Linked DNA regions of Mus musculus: region 2 is reported to be linked to region 1. The links are microRNA targets in miRTarBase. Many come from high-throughput screens and were not tested one by one. Region 1 holds a microRNA gene; the other region holds the end of a gene's coding sequence.

Evidence for each region. The annotated mature microRNA mmu-miR-378a-3p reads ACUGGACUUGGAGUCAGAAGG and lies in region 1 at 2,314-2,334, shown strand. An mRNA with a match to its seed (bases 2 to 7 or 8) in the 3' UTR can be bound and repressed. Matches are read on the target gene's strand: a 7mer-m8 pairs with bases 2 to 8, a 7mer-A1 pairs with bases 2 to 7 and ends in A, and an 8mer does both.
Region 2: miRTarBase lists Il17re as a target of mmu-miR-378a-3p. Seed matches in the 3' UTR shown: 7mer-A1 at 1,171-1,177.

What each region holds. Positions count from the first base shown.
Region 1 is chr18:61,393,056-61,400,171 of GRCm38, reverse strand. Mir378a (microRNA 378a) reads left to right here and starts at 2,272; the gene lies at 2,272-2,337. The region is part of intron 1 of Ppargc1b (peroxisome proliferative activated receptor, gamma, coactivator 1 beta); the gene reads left to right. Gm52354 (a long non-coding RNA gene) reads right to left here and starts at 1,013. Exons shown (of 2, transcript XR_003952648.1): 1 at 980-1,013; 2 at 1-684.
Region 2 is chr6:113,469,406-113,476,521 of GRCm38, forward strand. Il17re (interleukin 17 receptor E) reads left to right here. Exons shown (of 15, transcript NM_145826.6): 15 at 152-1,353. The coding sequence ends at 738. Il17rc (interleukin 17 receptor C) reads left to right here and starts at 2,050. Exons shown (of 18, transcript NM_178942.1): 1 at 2,050-2,382; 2 at 2,666-2,687; 3 at 2,826-2,978; 4 at 3,222-3,284; 5 at 3,373-3,482; 6 at 4,756-4,867; 7 at 5,148-5,192; 8 at 6,994-7,116. The coding sequence starts at 2,278. It overlaps Gm52872 (a long non-coding RNA gene), which reads right to left and starts at 199. Exons shown (of 2, transcript XR_003956348.1): 1 at 124-199.

The sequences.
Region 1 (7,116 bases):
CTGCAGAGCCCCCCCTTCCACGTGCCTTGTGCTGCGCTCCGTTACAGGCGTAGCGAGCTGCAGGTCGCCGGCGCATGCTGTAGCATTGGGGGACACAGCCAGGGCCACCTAGAGTCTACTGTCCCCCACTGGCAAAGTTGAGGGGTACTACAATTCCTCCCGCAGGTAGAATCCAGCCAGGGTCGGGGGATCCCTAAAGGCTGGCTCTGGGTGTTGTAGGCGCGTCCTCGGCGCCTGGCACTTGCTGCCGTACTTTCACGTGCACTTGTGGCGGGGCTAAGGGAGGCGATCGGTAGCCCTGGAGTCCCCTGGTTCTCCAGCATCGGGTACCCCATAGCCCCCCACCTGCTCCGGCAGCGCAGAGTTTCCTGTCAGTTGCTGGCTAGGGGAATAGGGGTCGGCAGGGCACGTGGACATGCGGGCGGAGATTGCGTCTTCCAGCTCTCACTAACCGGAGGAGACCCGTTAGGAGCGAGGAAGGCAGGATCCGGGCGGAAGGACTATCTAGGGGGTGCCTGGGTCCCCCTGCGGCGCGCGTTCCCGGCGCGCGCTCCACGATGCAGGGGGAAGGGAAGGTGAGGCGGCGTCCCGGGCTCTGGCTAAGGCTGGGAGCCACACCGGCTACAAGCGCATGACAGGAGTGTGTGCTCTGGTGTTCGGGAGCGAGGACGAGGAAGCTGTGGGCTTGGAGAATAAAATGGGGTTTGCTGCTAGGACAAGCAGTTGCGGGAACATGTGTGCACGCAGCGTGGGGGCCCTCACCTCTTCCTCCGTTTCCCCCTCTAGCCCGTGCCTGTTGCAAGCCTAAAGTTTGGCTCCCGAGTTAGGGCTTTTGCTCCCAGCTCCTGTCTGTGTGTCTCCCCAGAGGCTGGGGGTGCGACGGAGCCTGGGAGGAGACCCCGGATGCGGGGACACGCCTGGGTCCGGAGAGGGGCTGCAAGGCGGAAACCCGTGGGACTCGCGGGGACAAGCTGAGTACCTGGTGTGGAAGCGTTTGTGCCGGCCCGTTTTGCATAACACTGGGAGGGAGGGGAAGGCGGAGGGGGGGGGCGGGAGGTGGGAGGAGAGAGGGAAACTTTGCTTCTGGTTAGAATCTACCAGTCTTTGGGCGGTAGCAGCTGTCATGGGACCGGGTGGGCGGGGAGAGGCTTGCAAGCTGACTCCTTGCGGTGAGACGCGACTTGGAGGGGGGACGCAGCGGCCGAGAGACGTTCTGCTCCGGGAAACCTCCCGGTGGCGAATTGAAGCTGGCGACTAGGACAGGCGTCGTTGCGGGGGTGTCGCCGAGAGGAAGCCCGCCACGCGCGGGAGACGGCGGGCCATAGCTCTCTGCAAACGCCGTGGCGTCCCGGAGCCGCGGGGGCCGCGTGGTGTGTGGCTGGCGCGCTCTCGGGTGGGTTCATAGCAGAGGCCCAAGGGGATGGTGGCGGGTGATCGCGCTTCTTCAGGTCGGGAGGCGGTGTTAATGAGCGGGCTGTGCGCGGGTGTGTGTGTGTGTGTGTGTGTGTGTGTGTGTGTCCCCTGAGCCTGTGCACACGCCGCGCGCGCCGGGCGCGTACCTTTACCTCTGACGAAACTGCAGTGGAGCGCCGGGCAGCGTCGCCGGGCACGGTCACACGCCCGGTGTTTATGTCTGCCCAAGGCGGGCCTTAGCACCCCGGGGGTGGACAGCGTGGAACCAGGGCTGGAGGTGGTAGGGGCATGGGGGTCCGGGAGAAGACCTGCACCCCAGATCTCGATTGCCTGGAGTCGTGTCCATATCTCTACACTTAAGAACCGAGTAGCCCAAAATAGCCAGTGAGACTCCTTCACACATACCAAGATTGTCTGCTCTGGACAGGACCCTCGACTTTAACTCTAGCTTTTGGTGTTTGGCTCACCGATAATTAATTAACTGTTTGCCCTTTTAGCCACCAGCCTATCCCACTCAGTAGGGTAATTTCCTAGCTTCACCAAAGGAATCTGGAAAATTGGGTAATCAGTTGTCAGCAGAAGCAGTGCAGTGAAAGTTAATTTGGGACGTTTGTTCCCCCCCACCCCACCCCCTTTTAACTTAATCACGTGATAGGCCGAAGATCTCCGGGTGATCTTTGCCGGGCCAACTTGGGAAATGTAATTGATACCAGGAGCTTTGCAGCCGCCCCTAGAAGGCTCAGAGCTGAGCGGGAATGGGCGGGGCAGCCCGCCGCCTCATTTTACAGTTGGGGAAGAGGCTGCGAGGGGTGAACTGCTTGTCCACGACCACTCAGCCAGGGGGTGACAGAGCCACCCAGGGCTCCTGACTCCAGGTCCTGTGTGTTACCTCGAAATAGCACTGGACTTGGAGTCAGAAGGCCTGAGTGGAGTCACCTTCCCCGCTCTCTGGCTGGGTGATCCTGGAGCAAGCCATTTTAACTCTCCAGCCGTGTTTCTCCATCTGTCCAATGGGGCCGGTGTGGTGCTGACGGAGAAGCCAGAGGCCTGCTGGTGGGGGTGAGCCTGTGTTTGCATGTGAGCTGTCTGGCTGTCCAGCTTCTTCCCCACAGCCCTTCCCAGACCCTCCCCTCCCCCCAGCTCTCCCCCTCGGGAGGGTTGGGGAAAGTGGATTGTCTCTGTTCCCCCAAAGAGTTCTTCTTGTCTTTGGTGGCTAACCCAGGCTTAGATTATAGAGATCTGTTTGAGAGACTTAACGTTTATTCGTTGGGGCCAAAGTAGCCATTTATCAGAACCAGGCTTGTGGAAGCGTTTTGGAAATGTTTGAAGATTGGGTTCCAAAGACTCTGTGCTGACTTCGCTTTTGTTCCAGCTGTACCCCTTGCTTAGTGGGCCTTTGCCTACCATCCCGCATGGCTTTCTCCCTTAGTAGGCCTTCCTGCCAGCTTGCCCTGCTCTCTCTTCTGCCTTTCATAGTTCGTTATAAAGCCAAGCACTTTATGTGTTTGAGTCTATCCAGTAGGATCCAAGTTGAGTCTTTTATCTTTGTGTGCCCACATGGCACCTGTCACCATGCTGAGCAATGCCCCTTTGCCTGGCTCTTGATGAGGTACATGGACTACAAATAGGGGTACAGCTGAGCCTTGCCAGACAAGCTCATGGGCTGACAGAGAAGACAGCTGGGTAGTGAACATGGGAGAGGGGGCATTGTCGAGGGCTACAGCTGCTAGCAAAAGCCTTGACTCCAAAGGCCATGCAGGAAGCCCAGCAAATAAAGGAATTATTTGAAGTCACTTGAGAGCCTGGAAGAACTGTGACAGTGTCAGAGACGACAAGGACATTATAAATCAGCAAGTCCAACCCTTATTTAAAAATAATTTTAACAGTGTTAGAAAACACTGCTAAGTGTCATGAAAAGGGAGTCATGTTTTATATTTTACATTTGTCTAAATTAGCTAATTTTGTATGTGTGTTTGCATGTGTGTGCTCTGGCATGTGTGTGGAGGTCAGAGGACGACGCCATGAGGTGCAGAACTTTGTTCTCTTCCACAAAATGGGACATGGAGATTGAACTCAGGTGGTCAGCCTTTGCCTGCTGAGGCCTCTCACCAGTCCAGAAATATGTAATATTATCCAAAGATAGCTGCTTTAAAGTCTATGTATCTCTAGATGTTTTTTTTCTTTCCTATTCATATAGACCAGTTATTTTGGGGGGTGGGGGGAGAAGAAAATGATAAATGAAGTTATTCTGTTATACTAATTTGTATCTTGCAAGCACACTGTTTTGTAACTTGCTTTTTTTTTTTCTCCTCCTCACAATATGCTGTGAACATCTTTCCTCATCAATAAATATTGTGCCTAATATCTTAATGGCTGTATAGTATTTCATGGGACGTTGAGCCAACATGTGTCAATCAATCCTCTGCTGTCGCTTGGTTGCTTGCGTTTATCCTACTGTGAGCAACGCCGAAACAAATATATTTGTGTACATGTGTTCTTTCCTTCATTTATATTCCTAGAAGGGAAATTGCTCTGTCAAAGGAACCACGCAGGCATTTGGTAAACACATAAGGAAATCGTCTTCTAGAGAGATTGCATTCATTTACACACTCATCAGCATTGTGTGGAAACGCCTGGCTGGCCATACCCCAGTTATTCATGCCATTTGTATTCTACGAATTTGGTCAACAATATACTTTGTTACTCTTGCCGTTCATGTGCGTTTCTTTGATGTTCAGTGGCTGCCCCCTTGCATGGCTCCAGGGACTTAACCTGACTAGGGCAGTGAGGGAATGAAGAGGGACACATGGAGACACAGAAATGACTGGGATCCGCTGGATGGGGCTCTCTGATGGAGAAACTCTCAGATGCTCAGAGTGTATTATATACTGTGGTATAGTGAGGTGGCATTTATTGCATACAGCCGAATTAAGGAGGTGGGATTTATGGTCTGTTTCTGTATCAAGGGGCCAGGTTTAGCTACCTTTGGTAGGAGCCATCTTCCTTGGGGAACAGTCTTCAGACTGTAGTATCTAAGGGAAGACGACTAAGGGTGGACGTTTTCTGGCCTCATTGTCAACATTCACACTTGGACCCCCAGGAAGGCTTTGCCATGCTTCAGAGCCCCCCACTGATGGGGGTGGAGCGGTGCAGGGTGCTTTGCCATTTTCCTATGGGTCTGAGTTGTAACCATGCCAACACCCTCTGCACCCCATGCTCAATCCCTTCCCATGGACAATCACTCCCTGCTGGTTCCGTACAGTACCATGGTCCTACTTGGCAGATGGATCTTTGGGTTCTACTTGGCAGATGGATCTTTGTTAAGAGGGACCTGAGCACACTGAGGGGTCCTGGGCACAGGGAGGACTGGAGAAACGACTTGAAGTCCCAGTGCTCCTTGATGGGTCTGGTATAATTCAACCTCCACTGCCACTGAAGCCAGGGCCAGCTGCTGTCCAAGTCAGAGTTGCAGCTGTGTGGAGGCAGATGCATTTGCCCACCTTTGGCCTGCATGGACTGGGAGCAGGGTAACTTCTTCATCTGAGTACATCTGGGGGCATGCTCCCCAGAGGCCCGAGCCCCACTTTCTTTGGACCCTCTGGCTGATGCTGGTGGGTAAGCATGGCTAAGAAATCCAGCCTAGCAGTTGGGCACCTGGGGCTCGTGTTTCCCCCTGGCCTTGGGGCCTCCTCTCTCCAACTGGTGCCGGTCAGCCAGGAACTACACTACACTAGGCTATGAGTCACCCTTTTCCTTCCCTCTCATTTAGATGGAGCACTGGCTTGAGCCAGAAGCCGCCCCGCAGATGGGGCCTCAGGCTTGGAAGTGAGGTCATGACAAGAGCATTGCAGTGCTAACAGCTGTCTTCCCTTCCTAAGCAGCAGCATTTATAGAGTGCCCTCCTGGTCACATGGTCTTTGCCGAGCCATCAGTTGGCACCATTACAGTTCTTCCTCACAAAGATCCGTATGACCTAGGTATTGTTTTACAGTCCTAAAGGTTTCATGGTCTCTAAGAACTCACTTCCTTGCCAGTCTACTCACACTGCCTTGGTACTAAAGTACTTCTGTTGCTCCAGGCCTCAGTTTCTCAACCTGCGAAATGGGGCTAACACACCCCATCAGGAATAAAAATAATGGATGTAAAATGAGCATTGACCTTCTACAATGTGGAGTTTTCTCACTGAAGCCCTTTAATGGGGGAGGTTTAAATTTTGATCTGGTCCTGTACATGCAGTCTTTTGGGTGATTGGTTTGCTATCCTGGGGGGTTGCACATAAGGCCTTGAAAAGGCTAGACAAGCATTCTATCACAGAGCCCCATCCCTAGCCCTCTTTTGACTTTTTATTTTGAAATGGGGTCTCACTAAGTGGCTCAAGCTGGCCTTCAATCTGTGATCCTCCTGCCTCAGCGTCCAGGGTAGCCAGAATTACAGTGCCCTCAGTCCTGGACTGCAATCATTGCTTTTGTTAGAAGAGAAGCATCATTTCATTTGAGCTATATGAAGGTGATACAGATGCTCACAGCCAGTTTCCCTCTGACTCACCAAGGCAGAGGAACAGCTCAGAGTCATCTTCTGGACACCACTGGGATGTGAAATCCTTTGCACTGGGCTGACCTTTCCATTCTCAATCATCCTCCTGTCCTAAGTCCTTGTCCCATCTACAGCCAGATTCCCCTAACGGCTAACAGGCTTTGCCACGACAGACAGTGTCTTCTCTCTTTTGCCCTTGGTCTTGGTCACACAAGAGCAAGGTAGAGACATTTTTTTTTCTGTAGAAGGCTTCTCTTCCCCTCAACATACACAGCCTCCCCAGTTGTCTGTGTTCCTGACCAGAAGTCCACTCTCACAGCTGACAACCCATACATCCCTATTGCCCAGAGCTCTCCCTACCTTCACCACAGGGCTCACTCCTAGTGAGCACATGCCGTGGACTGGGACAAGTGTGTAGTAACAGTCCGTCACAGCACTGTAGGGCTGTCCACTAAGAGCCCTCTGCAGTCTGCCTTTCCTTTCCCTTGCTCCTGCTGCTCCAACCACTGGTGTTTTTACTGTGTCCACAGGTTTGCCTTTTTCAGAGTATCATGTAACTGCAATCGTGCAGTATGTAGGTGTGAATGGGTAGTAACGTGATTTAAGATTTCTTTGCATCTTCTCATATTTTGAAGGCTCAGCCCCCTACAACTTTAAAGCCGAACTTGAAGTCTGATGTGCAAAGGGCATCAGGTCCTTGAAGTTGGAGCCTAGGCGCCAGGATTGAACCTGAGTTGTTGACTTTTCCCAGATTTTAAATCAGGACTTACAAGTGCCATGACCTTGAACAAATGTCCCCAACATTAGTCGGTAGAGATACAGAACTGGGGATAACAGTATGTATACTCTTCTACGGCTCACCCCAGAATGTGCTAGGAGACTTCCTCCAGGGACCTGGGTTCGTGCTGTTCTTTGCTGTGTTCTCATGTCTGTCTGGCCATTTCTATTTACCTGCAAAAGCCAGCTCCCCTGCCTGTGCTGTGTATGGATTCTCCCATCTTTAGACCTAATGGCTTCAGCCCTGCTTTCCAGTGTGCTGGGCCTGCGGATCTCTGGAATGCTCTCCACTGAGTTCGAATCCTGATCTGTAGTTTATCTACTGTGAAACCTCCTTAACCACTGGAAGTCACACGAGCTTATATATGTTTTGATCATGTTTTTCTCTTCCTA
Region 2 (7,116 bases), not on the chromosome of region 1:
TAAATCCTCATAAAGGACACATTGTGCATGCAGGACACCCTAGAATGTAGGCCAGAGTCCCCAAGGGGAGGGCTACGCTGGCTGTCCTCGCTACTCCCCCTCCTCTCCCAAGACGCCCCTTACCCTACTCAGCTGTTGCTCCGGTCCCTAGGCTCCGGTCGAACAAGGCCAGTTTTACTCCTACATGCAGCGGACTCAGAGGCACAGCGACGCCTGGTGGGAGCTTTGGCCGAACTGCTGCGGACGGCGCTGGGAGGTGGACGCGACGTGATCGTGGATCTCTGGGAAGGGACGCACGTAGCACGCATTGGACCACTGCCGTGGCTTTGGGCAGCGCGGGAGCGCGTGGCGCGGGAGCAGGGCACAGTGCTGCTCCTGTGGAACTGTGCGGGTCCCAGCACCGCCTGCAGCGGTGACCCGCAGGCTGCGTCCCTTCGCACCTTGTTGTGCGCTGCTCCACGTCCGCTGCTGCTCGCCTACTTCAGTCGCCTCTGCGCCAAAGGTGACATCCCCCGGCCGCTGCGCGCTCTGCCACGCTACCGCCTGCTTCGTGACCTGCCGCGCCTGCTGAGAGCACTGGATGCTCAGCCTGCCACCCTAGCCTCCAGCTGGAGTCACCTTGGGGCTAAGCGGTGCTTGAAAAACCGTCTGGAGCAGTGTCACCTGCTGGAACTTGAGGCTGCCAAAGATGACTACCAAGGCTCAACCAATAGTCCCTGTGGTTTCAGCTGTCTGTAGCCTCAGCCTGTGTAGCAACAGCAGGAACTCCAGAATGAGGCCTCACACATGTACTCTTTGGGGGTGCTTCTTGTCCCCCAAACCGTAAGACTCACCTTAAGTCCCACACTTGACCAACCTCCCTCACATTTGCTCCCTCTTAGAGTTCCTGAGAGGAACTTGGGCTTTCCTGATAGGTCCTCAGCCCTTTCTGAGAAGGAGGGACGATTTTTCCATTTCTTTTCAAAACTGAAAAAAAAAAAAAAAAAAAAAAAGACAACCATCTGCATCGAGCACTCCAGTTCAGGCTGGAGGGCTAGGCCAGGATTGGAAAGCAGGGCCTAAGTGTCAAGCGCTTGAAGGGGGTGGGGGCGGGGGGAGGTGCTCTGCTCGGCAGAGTTGAGAGAAACCCCGTCAGCCAGGAGTCCCTCACCTTCCCCAGAGGGAGGCCTCGTCCAGAGGTAGTTTGATTTGTTTGTTTGTTTGTTTGAGACTGAAGCCCACTGTGTAGCCCTTGATGGCCTGGAACAAAGAGGTTTATCTACCTGCCTCTGTCTCCGGAGTGCTAGGATTAGAAGCCTACATCACCCAATTGGTAAGAGAGATGAATAAAAGCAAACGTAGTAGACACATTAAGGAACAGTGTGCTGCTCTTGTGTGCCTGGGCCAGTCAGGAAGCCTGCCCTAAGCTTGTTCTAGAACAGCTCACCAGCCCAAGTCCTTTCATTCCCACAAGCATTGCCTGTGAAAGGCAAGGGGGACCCAGTGCCTCCTGGATCCTCTCCTCACTATGATTCTTCCAAGAGCAAAGGAAAACCGGAAGCTAGGCAGCATGGCCATCGCTCTCCTCCAGTGCCAGCAACAGCTCGACAGAACTCAGCCCAGTAAGGGGTCTCCCGGGCCTCACTGCCCCTCCGTCTCCCCTGAACCTGGGCCAGGCAGTGGGGAGCTCACTTTCTGGTGCCCTTTGACAGCAGCCCGTTGTCTTCAGAGCTCCTGTTTCACGAGGGTCACTGTCACTGAGACCCAGGGAAGAACCTGAGCATAGTAAGAGGGGACCCAGTGGACCTTAGGATCCCAGGGTCATACAGGAAGTGGAAACACCCGGCATGCCACAAGCCTGGGGTCTTTCTGACCAGATCGATCAGAATCTTTGTTTTTTGGTGAGATCCGGGGTAGGAGTTCCTTTACACAGTAGTGAGTCCAGCTGTGCTGCCTTCCCAGGGCTCCTCCCAGCCAGGTACCAGCCAAGGAGGAGGAGGAGAAGCCACCACCCAGGTCCAAAGCTGCTGGCTCCTAAGCCTGGAGTTGGTGGGAGGGACGGGACAGGGCGGGGCGGGAACAGCCACTGCCTGCTGGGAGCCAAATCGAAAGCACTCCAGCTGAAACTGGGCCTGGAGTCCAGGCTCACTGGAGTGGGGAAGCATGGCTGGAGAGGAATTCTAGCCCTTGCTCTCTCCCAGGGACACGGGGCTGATTGTCAGCAGGGGCGAGGGGTCTGCCCCCCCTTGGGGGGGCAGGACGGGGCCTCAGGCCTGGGTGCTGTCCGGCACCTGGAAGATGCCTGTGTCCTGGTTCCTGCTGTCCTTGGCACTGGGCCGAAACCCTGTGGTCGTCTCTCTGGAGAGACTGATGGAGCCTCAGGACACTGCACGCTGCTCTCTAGTGAGTCTGGGACTATGGGAGGCTGGGAAAGGCTCAGAGTTAGAGTTCAGTCTCTGCCTCATCACAGCCCGAGTCTGGCTCCTGTCACTGCCTCTATCAGAACTGCCCTGTCTGGTCTGTCTGGTGCTGATGGGGGAAGAGAAGATGGAAAGGGGACAAGAATTGGTCTTTTCTTCAGGGAAGGGCTTAGGACAAGGAGCGCTGGAAGGAGATAGGCAGTGGCTAGGGGGCTGTCAAGCAAGGAAAGGCGCTTGAATTGAATTGACTTTTTCTTCCTTCCCAGGGCCTCTCCTGCCACCTCTGGGGTAAGTATTGCTACTTGAAAAGAATGACTTCCAGGCGAGCTGAAGGGAAGCAACTGCTGGCGCTCAGCCTGGAAGCTCCCCTGCCCTCTGCAGGTATCACAAACCAAACCAGCTTCCACCCCACCCCTTCACACCCAGATGGTGACGTGCTCTGCCTGCCTGGAAGCCTCCAGTCTGCCCCAGGCCCTGTGCTAGTGCCTACCCGCCTGCAGACGGAGCTGGTGCTGAGGTGTCCACAGAAGACAGATTGCGCCCTCTGTGTCCGTGTGGTGGTCCACTTGGCCGTGCATGGTAAGTGAGGAAGCCCGCCCGTAACTGAGTGCACACATAAGCCTGTCTGGGGAAGGCATGAGGATTGCAGACTCTGGGGACATCTGCAATGTCTAAGATACTGGTCCAGGTACCTCCAGGCCAGCCTGCTCTCCCCCAGGCCTCTGCTTATGCGCCATGGCATCTATGCAAGGGAATCTAAGCCCGAACCAGCCCAGAGCAGATGCCCGACTTGGGCTTTGCTCTCTTCTCTGCTTCTTGCAGGGCACTGGGCAGAGCCTGAAGAAGCTGGAAAGTCTGATTCAGAACTCCAGGAGTCTAGGAACGGTGAGGAGCCAGCTGGCCCAACTACTGCTTCTAGTCAGGGTCTTTCCCGTGGCCCATGGCCTGGCTGACCCCTGCTTGTTGCTCTCAGCCTCTCTCCAGGCCCAGGTGGTGCTCTCCTTCCAGGCCTACCCCATCGCCCGCTGTGCCCTGCTGGAGGTCCAGGTGCCCGCTGACCTGGTGCAGCCTGGTCAGTCCGTGGTATGTGAAGGGCTCCTCCTGAGGAGAAGAGCCACCTCCAGAATCCCAGATTCCCTTAACAATCTCGTGCACTGTTTCCTTAAGTCTTGGGTCTGATCTGAGCAGTGAGGCCTCTTGGCTTTTTTTGTGGTGGTTTTTCTGTCTATAAAATGAGGGTAAGGACACTCCTGGCTCACGTGTGACTGGGTGAGAAGTCACTAAGCAGTCCTCTGGGACAATCTTATTTCATCTTCTCACAGGCGGCACATGAGGCTTCCGGGTGCTTCCATCTCTGCCAACACTTGGCATTTAAAATTTAAAATTTTAGCCATTCTGCCATATATGTCATGGTTTATACCTGGAAATTTGTGTGTGCATGTGTGTGGCAGCAGTATTTATACTTCTAAATTACATTTATTTATTTATTTATTTAGTGTGTGTGTGTGTGTGTGTGTACTGGGGGTTCATATAGAGGGCAGAGGACAAGGTACAGAGTCAGTTTTGCCCTTTTTATCATGAGGGTCCTTGTGATTGAACTCAGGCTGCCAGGCTTGGTGACAACCACTCCAATGAGGCCACACCTACTCCAACAGGGCCACACCTAGTAGTGCCACTCCATGGGCCGAGCATATAGAAACCACCACACGTGCTTACTTGCAATTTATAACTTCCTTCATGAAATGTCCTTTGAAACTTTTGATGGCTATAAAATAAGAACAAAGACCTGGGAATGTAGCACAGTGGTAGAGTTCTTGGCTAACATGCTTCATTCAGGCCTTGGGTTTGACACCCAGCAAACACACACACACACACACACACACACACACACACACACACACACACACACACACACACACACACACACACACACATGGGCATGTGTGCACGCACACATGCACACAATTTTTTTTTAGCCTGCCTAGTTTATGTCACAGAGCAGCCATGAGCACCTCTGATGTGTGCCTGCGGGGGCTGCTCCACGCTTGCGTTGGCGTATCTAATCAGCTTCCCTCTGACCAAGTGGTCTATGACAGCAGGTGTAGGCAGCAACTCAGATAGCCTGGTTAATCCCAGGCCTGCCAATACAGCTGTAGGAGATACGTGCTTTAGAACTGGGAAGCTGTTCAAAAGAAAGAAACTATAGTGATAGATTTCAAGCTAGATAGTATAGATGCAGTCATTGGCTGGAAATGGGGCCAGTAGGTAGGCAGAGTGGTCTACTCACATGAGCCCAAGACCTTGGCCTGCATTCTGAGCCCTTCACCTCCAGCCATCCACCACCCTCTCCTCATAGGGTTCTGCGGTATTTGACTGTTTCGAGGCTAGTCTTGGGGCTGAGGTACAGATCTGGTCCTACACGAAGCCCAGGTACCAGAAAGAGCTCAACCTCACACAGCAGCTGCCTGGTGAGTCACCCCAAAGTCCTGGTTCCCCAGTCTGCAGTCCCTTTGGTCACTCCCCATCTTTCTGGTCCCATCATTTTCAGGCAAGGTTCTGAGCTGACACCCTCCTCAGTCAATTTCGTGTGCTTCTAGCCCCTGGGATAGGTGCTCTGTGCCCTGTGTAAGCGTGGGTGGTCTTCAGGGGACAGGCAGCCCCTCTCAGGATCTCCCCATGGTTTGCACTGCTTCCCTTTTTGCCTTGGTCCCCATCCCCACTGGACGTTTTTCTGTGATCTCTCCCCAGACTGCAGGGGTCTTGAAGTCCGGGACAGCATCCAGAGCTGCTGGGGTAGGGGCCAGGGACAGTGGGCTGGGTGGGGGAGGGCAGGATCTGGAGTTTACACAATTGGATGCTTGGGGTTGACATCAGCCTCAGAGATGCCAGGTTCCAAAAGTCACAGGACATGTTCTATCATTCATTCATTCATTCATTCATTCATTTGCTCATTCCACATGAACTGCAGAATTGCTTCATCTATGTATGTCAGGCACTAGAAATATTACAAATGCTCATTGATCCCAGGAACATCTAGTGGCCCAAAGCACTGTTAAGATTCTGGTGCCTCTCCTGACTGACCAGAGTGGGTAAACTATTAAACCTGAAACAGCGACCAAAAAATGAGGAGATTTTGATGTTACTTTTGTTTTGTATTTTCTTTTAAAGAGAATTTCTCATGCATATGTAGCATATATTTTAAAAAGATATAAGTACAATGATTTTTTTTTTTGAGACAGGGTTTCACTGTGCAGCTCTGGCACTATAAAGACCAGGTTGGTCTCATACTCACACAGACCCACCTCCCTCTCCGCCTTCCAAGGGCTGGGATTGAATGTGCACCATCGTGTCGGGCAAAGTGCTCTGGTTTTAATGTCTAGTTCAGTGAAGTGATTGTGTAGTTAGGTTGTTTTTGCCTTGTTTTGCTGTTTTGGTTTTGACAGGCTCTTGCTATGTTGTCCATGCTGGGCTTGAACTTGCAATCTTCCTGCCTCAGCCTCCCAAGCAGCCAGGGTTGCAGGTGGGCTTCGCCACATCTGGCTCCGTTGGGTTAGTGCTTAATGACTTCTACAGCTAGCACAAGGTGAAGGTGTGCGACAGGTTTTAAACTATTAAATAGTCCCCTTTCTTCTCTTCAACTCCATTTTCTTTTTTTGGCATTCCTCTTTGGCACTCCATACAAATCACTAGACACCAGAGCTTTGAAAACACACACCAGGCATCTCCTCTTGTCACTCAGTGGTGAGTGCCTTCCTTATTCAACAACGATTGACTGAGTAATTACTCCGTACCAGACATAGTTATAGACTAGAAGTAAATTGATAAGCAAACCTGATAAAACTTCCCGTCTTTATGGAAATGGGAATTGGGATTAGAAAAGGGTTGAGGGAAGATCCAGTAAACTCCTGGGATATATACAGTATATTCCTGTAGAATATACAGTATATTAGATGGTGACAAGTTATGGAGAATATTCAAGAGAGGGGGATGGGAAGGATGGGAGTTCCAGTAGTGAGACAGCCTCACTGTAATGAAGGATATGAAGAAAAAACCCTGTATTTGAGAGACAGAGTCACATAGGAAGAGAACAGCCTGTGCAAAGGCTGTAGGGCAGGAGCAAGGCAAAGTGTGCTTAAGGAATGTGAAGGCATCTCATGTGTTTGCAGCAAAGTATTCAAGATAGAGGTACTAACATATTAGGTTTGAGAGGTCTCAGAAGCTAGCCTGGTTAAGGTTCGTGGAAGCTGTTGTAAAGACTAGCTTATATTGGGATTACTATGTGGGGGCATAAGCAGAGTCTAGGGACAGTGATTGCATTAAGGAGGTAGCAGGATTCTACTGGCTGCAGAAGAGGAGCTGTCCCCAAGAAGCAAGCTGGAGCCTCTATGGGCTTGGCTCTGGGCTTGTGTCTGGGGACAAAGCCCAGTCTGAGATGGAGATACAGTCTGTCCTCCAAGGGCCTCCTAGTCCAAACCCTTCCAGGGGTTTGATGGAATCTCTAACGGGGCAGTTGGTGAGTATGGCCCAGGCTTAGCTGTGCAGAGGGGGTGAAGAGAGTCTGAACTTCCCCATCTCTCTCTGCTTTTCCCACTAGTCCTGCCCTGGCTCAATGTGTCTACAGATGGTGACAATGTCCTTCTGACACTGGATGTCTCTGAGGAGCAGGACTTTAGCTTCTTACTGTACCTGCGTCCAGTCCCGGATGCTCTCAAATCCT